2 linked regions of the Macaca fascicularis genome follow. The main gene of each other region encodes a partner of the protein of the gene in region 2 in a complex. Links are inferred from orthologs where the notes say so. Each region holds a gene or a part of one and is shown on either strand. Other genes may lie near its edges.

The links.
Region 1: TAF4 (region 2) and transcription initiation factor TFIID subunit 13 share a complex: the UniProt entries of both Homo sapiens proteins name them as parts of the TFIID basal transcription factor complex. The link is inferred for Macaca fascicularis from reciprocal best matches to the Homo sapiens genes TAF4 and TAF13.

The regions. Positions count from the first base shown.
Region 1 is NC_088375.1:125,372,308-125,376,581, reverse strand, and holds the start of transcription initiation factor TFIID subunit 13, read right to left. Parts: upstream 2,804-4,274; 5' UTR 2,742-2,803; coding exon 2,715-2,741; exon of another isoform or gene 2,541-2,714; coding exon of another isoform or gene 2,540-2,540; intron 1,953-2,539; exon of another isoform or gene 1,855-1,952; coding exon 1,776-1,854; intron 1-1,775. UniProt on the Homo sapiens protein: The TFIID basal transcription factor complex plays a major role in the initiation of RNA polymerase II (Pol II)-dependent transcription.
Region 2 is NC_088384.1:118,057,101-118,060,611, reverse strand, and holds part of TAF4 (transcription initiation factor TFIID subunit 4), read left to right. Parts: intron 1-351; coding exon 352-474; intron 475-1,895; coding exon 1,896-1,985; intron 1,986-2,765; coding exon 2,766-3,014; intron 3,015-3,511. UniProt on the Homo sapiens protein: The TFIID basal transcription factor complex plays a major role in the initiation of RNA polymerase II (Pol II)-dependent transcription.

The DNA.
Region 1 (4,274 bases), on a different chromosome or scaffold from region 2:
ATGTGGTGGCTCATGCCTGTAACCCCAGCAGTTTGGGAGGCTGAGGCAGGAGGATCACTTGAGGGTAGGAGTTTGAGACCAGCCTGGCCAACATGGTGTAACTAGTCTCTACTGAAAATACAAAAATTAGCTGGGTATGGCTGGTCATGGTGGCTCAGGCCTGTAATCCCAGCACTTTGGGAGGCCGAGTTAGGCAGATCATCTGGGTCATGAGTTTGAGACCACCCTGGCTGACATGGGGAAACCCGTTTCTACTAAAAATACAAAAAATTAGCTGGGGCTGGTGGCGAGACAGGGTCTCACTCTTCTATCACTGGGGCTAGAGTACAGTGGCATGATCACAGCTCACTGCAACCTTGAACTCCTGGGCACAAGTGATCCTCCCACCTCAGCCTCCTGAATAGCTGGGGCTATAGGTACACGCCACCATGCCCAGTTAATTGCAAAAAAAAAAAAAAGATATACTGACCCTGTAGTTTCAAGGGCATTTGGGAACTGCTCACATATAACCCCGCCTAAATAAACCATATTCATAAATCTGTGTTGCCTCATCTCTCAATACTTAGATATAACTTTACATAAAGGACCCAGGACTGGAGATGGAGAGCACATTCTCATGCTGTGTTCCAGGGCTTGGCCTGTACCATCAGTAGTAGCAGCAGCTCTCCCTTCCTCTTGTTGCCAAAAAGGGTCAAAAGCATCTACTGAGGGGGTAGGATGCAGAATCAATACATTATAATCTCCATGTCATTATTTATTTTGCTTATTTATTTATTTATTTTGGACACAGGGTCTGGTTCCGTCACCAAGGCTGGAGTGCAGTGGCGCAATCTGGGTTTACTGCAACCTCCACCTCCTGGGCCCAAGCCATCCTCTCACCTCAGCCTCCAGAGTAGCTGGAACTACAGGGGCGTGCCACCATGCCCTACTAATTTTTGTATTTTTTGTAGAGAGAGGGTTTCACTATGTCGCCCAGACTGGTCTTGACCTCCTGGGCTCAAGCGATCTGCTTGCCTTGACCTCCCAAAGTGCTGGGATTACAGACGTGAGCCACTGCATCTAGCCTCCATGTCACTCTAATGTCTTACACTATTCACCACCTTCTTCTTTTTTTTTGAGACAGAGTCTTGCTGTGTTACCCAGGCTGGAGTGCAGTGGCATAATCTTGGCTCACTGCAACTTCTCCCTCCTGAGTTCAAGCGAGCACGTCTGGCTAATTTTTGTATTTTTAGTAGAGATGGGGTTTCATCACATTGGCCAGGCTGGTCTCAAACTCCTGACCTCCAGTGATCCACCTGCCTCAGCCTCCCAAAGTGCTCGGATTACAGGCGTGAGCCACTACACCCAGCTGTTCACCACCTTCTTACTTTGTTCATAGCCTTAGTCCAAAGCCCAAGCCCCAACTCACTTGCTACTCTCCCTCAACACCTGGTGCAGGATCCATTAGTATCTGTGGCTTACAGTCAAAGAAGCCTCTCTTTCTACTGCTGCAAAGGCAAGAGGAAAACTAATGGAGGTATGTTCTTCTGCCCTAAATTAAAACACGAACTACATTTGCTCACCTAAAAAGCAATTTATACACAGACACACATACACACACATATAACTGGGGTTAGGATTGGTACTATCTGATTCAAAAGCTAAACAGAATTTGATAGGCTAGTCTGAGAATATTGTCACTACAGGGAAACATTCAAAGCAATAAATGTACTTGGAAAGGATATGTCCAAAAGTTTTCATCATCTATAACAAAATCATTGTCAAATACTACTTACATTCTTTAGAAAAAAGCCTCTTTCTTTTACCCTGTCCACCTTCTGCACCTCCTCCAATTTCTTCATTTTCTTCCTCAAACTAGAAAACGTATATATAGAAATGTCAAATAATTGCCTTGCATTTGATATTTTAATAATAACAATGTTTTTTCCTTTTCAACAGATAGGCCAGAAAGCCTAAAGGAAGCAGAAAAAAAAAAAAAAAAAAAAAAAAAAAACACAAAACCTTAGCACGTAAGCAGCCTAGGTATCGAGTCCAATTTCCAACTCATCCAAAAATGGCTTCTACAATGTTCCTAACAAATAATCCTACTGCTTCTACGTGTAAGAGTTACAATGACCATAGGTTTTATTTTTAAACAACTAAGGTGGCCTATTGCTACTGTTAAACAGTTGATACTGAATCAAAGTCTACCTTTGTAGACTTTCAATTAAGCAAAACTAATATTTACTAAGCATTTGCATATACGGTGCTAAAAACGTTCCTTAAGTAAGCCCGTAACCCTATTTTGTAACAAGAAAACTGATTGTCAAAGTTAAATAACTTGCTTAGAGAGAATGGAGATTTTGAAATCCAGGCTGTCTGACTTTCAATGCATTCTTTTCCCATTACTTCACAGTAAGTACAGTTTTGTTAACAATTGAACTGTTGGTTCATAGTGAGCGCTAATAGATGTTAGTTTTGACGTCTGATGATTCTGTAAGTGTTTCAGTGTCTGGCAAATAAAGATCAAAATCAAGGGGAAAGGGGTCACAAAACCTACTCTTTCTTCATGTCCTTCCCCACTTTCTAAAATGATCAATCCTTAGGGAGTGAAGTCCCCGAATTCTGTCGGCTGAATTGACTAAGGCAAGCAGATCCGATCCTGAACTCTGCCTCCGCTACTGAGCCCGAAGGAGTGAAGAAAAGAGAGGTTCTGGACACAGACGGTCACTCACGGTGGGGTCTTCTTCCTCATCTGCCATCCCACTAGCCCGCCAACCCACAGCGCCCCGCCGGCTGGTTCTCAGCGGGTTACGCTACTTCCGTCGCCTCACTTCCGGTGACGGGCGGGGCTGGAGCTGGGCCTAGCTGACTGAGGCCTGCGGAAGGACGGTGGTGCTTTCCGGCCTAGCGGCGGAAATGCGACAGTCTTTAGCGGAGGAGGCCGGAGCTCCTCCCTGTAACACTGAAGGAATTGAAAACTAACAAAGAAAAGGAAATCACGGGCTCCGTGGGATGTATCTCGTTGTCACCCTAAATTTGCTACTGCGCATTGAATCACGCCTTCCTGTTTGGGGACTGCGAAGCTATGGATCGTAGGAGGGCTAGCCAGCGGTCCTTTATCTGACATAAATGCTTTTAAATCATTTTAAAGAGTTGTGGTTCCACTGTTTCTAAGCACTATGTTAATTACTGGGGATACTGTGCTTCACCACAAATTTCCAAGAGATGGTGTCCCAAAACTAAGCATTTAAAATTTTGTGAAGGTTTGTTTTTGTGTGTGTGTGTTTTTTTTTTTTTTTTTTTTTTTTGAGACCAAGTCTCACTCTGTCGCCCAGGCTGGAGTGTGCGGTGGCGAAATCCCGGCCCACTGCAACGTCCGCCTATCGGGTTCAAGCGATTCTTCTGCCTCAGCCTCCCGAGTAGCTGGGATTACAGGCGTGCACCACCATGCCCGGCCTCATTTTTGGTTTTTTTTTTTTTTTTTTGAGACGCAGCCTCACTGTCCCCCAGGCTGGAGTGAAGTGGCACAATCCGGGTTCACTGCAGCTTAGACCTGCTGGGCTCAAGCCATCCTCCCACCTCAGCCTCCAAGTAGCTGGGATTACAGGCACACACCACCTATGCTCGGCTAATTTTTGTATTTTTAGTAGATATGGGGTTTCGCCACATCACCCAGGCTGGTCTGGAACTCTTGATCTCAAGCGATCTGCCCCCCTCGGCCTCCCAAAGTGCTGGGATTACAAGTGTGAGCCACCGTGTCCATTGGGGAAGGCTTTTGGTCGGAACAATGGTTGGGAAAACCACAGGCATTGGAAGGCCAGAGCTAGGGATATAAAATATGTGTCCTACAGTGTAACAGATGATGCTACATAAAGAAAATCCCGCAATACACACGATTTCTGAATGTCCTGCTGAACATTCGGTGAGTGAAAAGTAGTTATGTGAGGCTTGAACCTATCTTTGTTAATAAACACAAAGCGGCTGGGCGCGGTGGCTCAAGCCTGTAATCCCAGCACTTTGGGAGGCCGAGACGGGTGGATCACGAGGTCAGGAGATCGAGACCATCCTGGATAACACGGTGAAACCCCGTCTCTACTAAGAAATACAAAAAACTAGCCGGGCGAGGTGGCGGGCGCCTGTAGTCCCAGCTACTCGGGAGGCTGAGGCAGGAGAATGGCGTGAACCCGGGAGGCGGAGCTTGCAGTGAGCTGAGATCCGGCCACTGCACTCCAGACTGGGCTACAGAGCGAGACTCCGTCTCAAAAAAAAAAAAAAAAAAAAAAAAAAAAAAA
Region 2 (3,511 bases):
ATTTGGATTGGCATAGGTTGTCCTTATGGTCAGCGACATTGCAGCAGGCGTCTTCGCAGAGTCTCTTTTCACTTTTTTCATTATTTGCATAGCTACATTCCTAGACGTGGCCTTGCGGGACTGTGGGAGATGCTGACTTCGGTGGCCATGTGACTGATGTGGCTGGGCCGCCCCTCAGAGCATGGCCCGGGGTTCCACTCCCATCCACAGGCCAAGAGGTGGTGCGTTTTCTTGAAGTTTAGAGGAGAAATATATGTATCTCTTATACATACGCATATTTTATTAACCAAAGGCTGTGACAAAAATCTGCCTTTTAAGATTTTTCACTTATGTCTTTTTACTTTAATCCAGGAAACTATGGAAAACGTGAAGAAATGTAAAAATTTCCTATCTACGTTAATAAAACTGGCTTCATCTGGCAAGCAGTCTACAGAGACAGCAGCTAATGTGAAAGAGCTCGTGCAGAATTTACTGGTGAGAAACCTTGACTTGACATTTCATTCCCTTTTCCCTAAGGCCTGTTGCATAGGAGAGACACCTATTGCTGCTGTGACTTGTGCCTGGGAGGCCTGTGCCAGCAAAGGGAGAGCTCCTCTGGAAGGCTGCAGGCAGAGGGGGGGGTGCACACCTGTCAGAGGTGTGTGTGGCCTAGCTGAGGAGACTCCTTCCTGGGGCTGGGTGTTCTGGGGCTGGTGCCTGGTGGTCTCCTGGGCTTTGCCATTTTCTGGTGCCTGTGTCCCTTGTCTGTGGCTCTCTTCTCCTCTGGCTGCCCCCACCATGCTGCACTCTGGCCAGGGTCCCTGGCAGCTCCCTTCTGGTCCTCTCCCCACTCCTGTGTGACCTCTTGTAAAATTCCCAGGTGTCCGCAGTCCCTGCTGGAACAGGCATTCTGCACCCTGAGCCAGCAGAAGCCCCCTCCCCGTGGAGCAGACCAGCTGAGGCACATTCGTGCTCCAGTGGCAGAGCCGTCCCCCCACCCCTGCCCCCACCCCTTCCGAAACCTCTGTCGCAGTGAACAGCACTCTGTCTCCTGGCCAGAACGTGGGAGGATTCCTGGCGGCCTCCCCTCTCCTTAACCCACAGTCCCAAGCTCTACATCTCTACTCATGGCCGAACTCTTGGCTCTCCACCTTGGCTCTCCCCATGGCTGTCTCATGGCTCAGGGGTATGCTGGCCTCAGTGGGATGGCCTGGGGATCTGGAGTGGCCAGTCTTTCCGTGCCTTCTCCTTGCCCGCCTGACCATGTCTTCCTGAGTCTCTCAGGGTTCAGTCCAGGCACCGCCTTCCCACCCTTGTCGCCTGTCTTCCCGACCTTTATGCCACGCTGGCCTCTGTTTCTGAAACAGGATCTGGCCCTCTTGCTCTGGGCTCCCTTTTATCTGACTGGACTCTGGGCACCGTGACTGCTTGCAGGGGTGAGCACAGCTGTTGTCTGCTCCTGAAGGTGCTGATGCCCTGACTGTCTGGATCCTGTCTGTGTGGCCCCTGGCACGCTGTGACCTCCTGTAGCACTGTGCTTGCAGGGCTGGCTTTGATAATGGAGTTACTTTTAGGCTGATCTGCCTCCTAGCAAAATGCCTGACACCGAATAGGTGCCTGGTAAACACTGAGTAAAGACTGGCATTGAGTAAGAGGCTTAGAAAAAGACGAGAAGTAGACAGGTGACCCTCCCAGGAGGAGACGTGGTCCGCAGCTGGCTGCACTGCGGTGTCCAGGGTGAGCGCCTGTCACACGTGTATCTGTGGAAGGTGTAGCACGCAGACTTTCCCATCTCCTCTGTCCAGTGAAACTCGGGGCGGAATCAGCCGTAAAATACAAGACCAGAGTGATGCGGGATTCAGAAGTGTGTGTGGAATCTCATTCACCAGAATTTCAACATGGATTTTATTTTTAAGGATGGAAAAATCGAAGCAGAAGATTTCACAAGCAGGTTATACCGAGAACTTAATTCTTCACCTCAACCTTACCTTGTGCCTTTCCTGAAGGTAATTTCGAAGGCCCGGGTGCTTGACGAGCAGCAGGGCCAGGGAGGGGTGGGGCGCAGATGCTCCAAGTGCACAGGGGTGAGGATGCTCCAGGCACGGAGGGTGCACAGCGCCTGTGCTCCCTGCGGGGGTGGGGCCGGGGACTCAGTGCCTGGGGACAGAATGTTGGGTGTTTTCTGTAAAGCAGGAGCTCCCCTGACACTGTGGCGTTGTGGTTCTGTTGTGCGCAAGGCGGTGAGAAGGGCGCGCGCTTCCTGAAACCGAGGGGAACAGGGAATTGGGGTGGTGTTTGCAAAACTGGATAGGACCAAGGGTGTTAACAGTGTCAGGCTGTCTGTTGGATAATCATTGGTATGAGCACATTTTAAAATTTAATACATATATTTGTACATATTTATGAGGTGCATGTAATGTTTTGTTACATTCATAGAATCAGGGTATGTGGGGTCTATCCCTTTGAATACTTATTTCCATGTGTTGGGAACATTCAGAATCTTCTCTTCCCGTGATGTTAACATATTTTAAAAACTATTTTAAAAATATGGCTCTTTTTGTTTGTTTTCTTAAACACATTTTGGACATTTGCTATCAGGAATAATCCCGCCTAGTGGGAGGGCGGGATGGGGTCCTGGCCCCTGACATCCAGACGTGCTGCTGTGAGGGCCAACATCCGTCTTAACTCAAAAATTTTCTGTAAAAGTTGATATTTCTGAATTTTTAAGCAAGGAAAACTGACGCATGAGCAACCCCCTGACCCCTCGTGTCTGTCTTTCCACCCAGAGGAGCTTACCCGCCTTGAGACAGCTGACTCCCGACTCCGCGGCCTTCATCCAGCAGAGCCAGCAGCAGCCGCCACCGCCCGCCTCGCAGGCCACCACTGCGCTCACGGCTGTGGTGCTGAGTAGCTCAGTCCAGCGCACGGCCGGGAAGACGGCGGCCACCGTGACCAGTGCCCTCCAGCCCCCTGTGCTCAGCCTCACGCAGCCCACACAGGTCGGCGTCGGCAAGCAGGGGCAACCCACACCGCTGGTATGGAAGGGGCACCTTACTGGTCCACACAGCCCACCGTGCCTCTGCTCCCTCCAGCTTCTTAGATAAATTGGCCATGGTTCAGAAACCTTTTCCAAGCATGCAGGAAGGCTCCTGCTAGAGGAAGCTTAGGCATTACCTTAGTTAAAATAGAAATCAGGGTTGAGGCCCTGGGATTTTGTGTTTTGTCTCAGTAAAATGAAATAGTTGAATTGGCTTTGAACCACTGGCACATCCCCGCCTTGTCTTGTCTAGGGATGTTACTGGTGTAAACGAATGCAGTGTGTTTTTAGAGGATCTTGTAGATAGATGTTCTCTTGGGTTAGGAGCAGCGGTCCAAGCGTAAGACACGGGCACCCGCGTGGGACAGGTGGGCAGGAGACTGGAGACGGTAGCAGCTCACAGCGCAGGGTGGATTTAGGTGGGTCCCGGGAGGCAAAGCTGCGGCTGCTCGTAGCGGTTCACGTATGTGCAATGTGGATCTGGCTTTCTTGGTT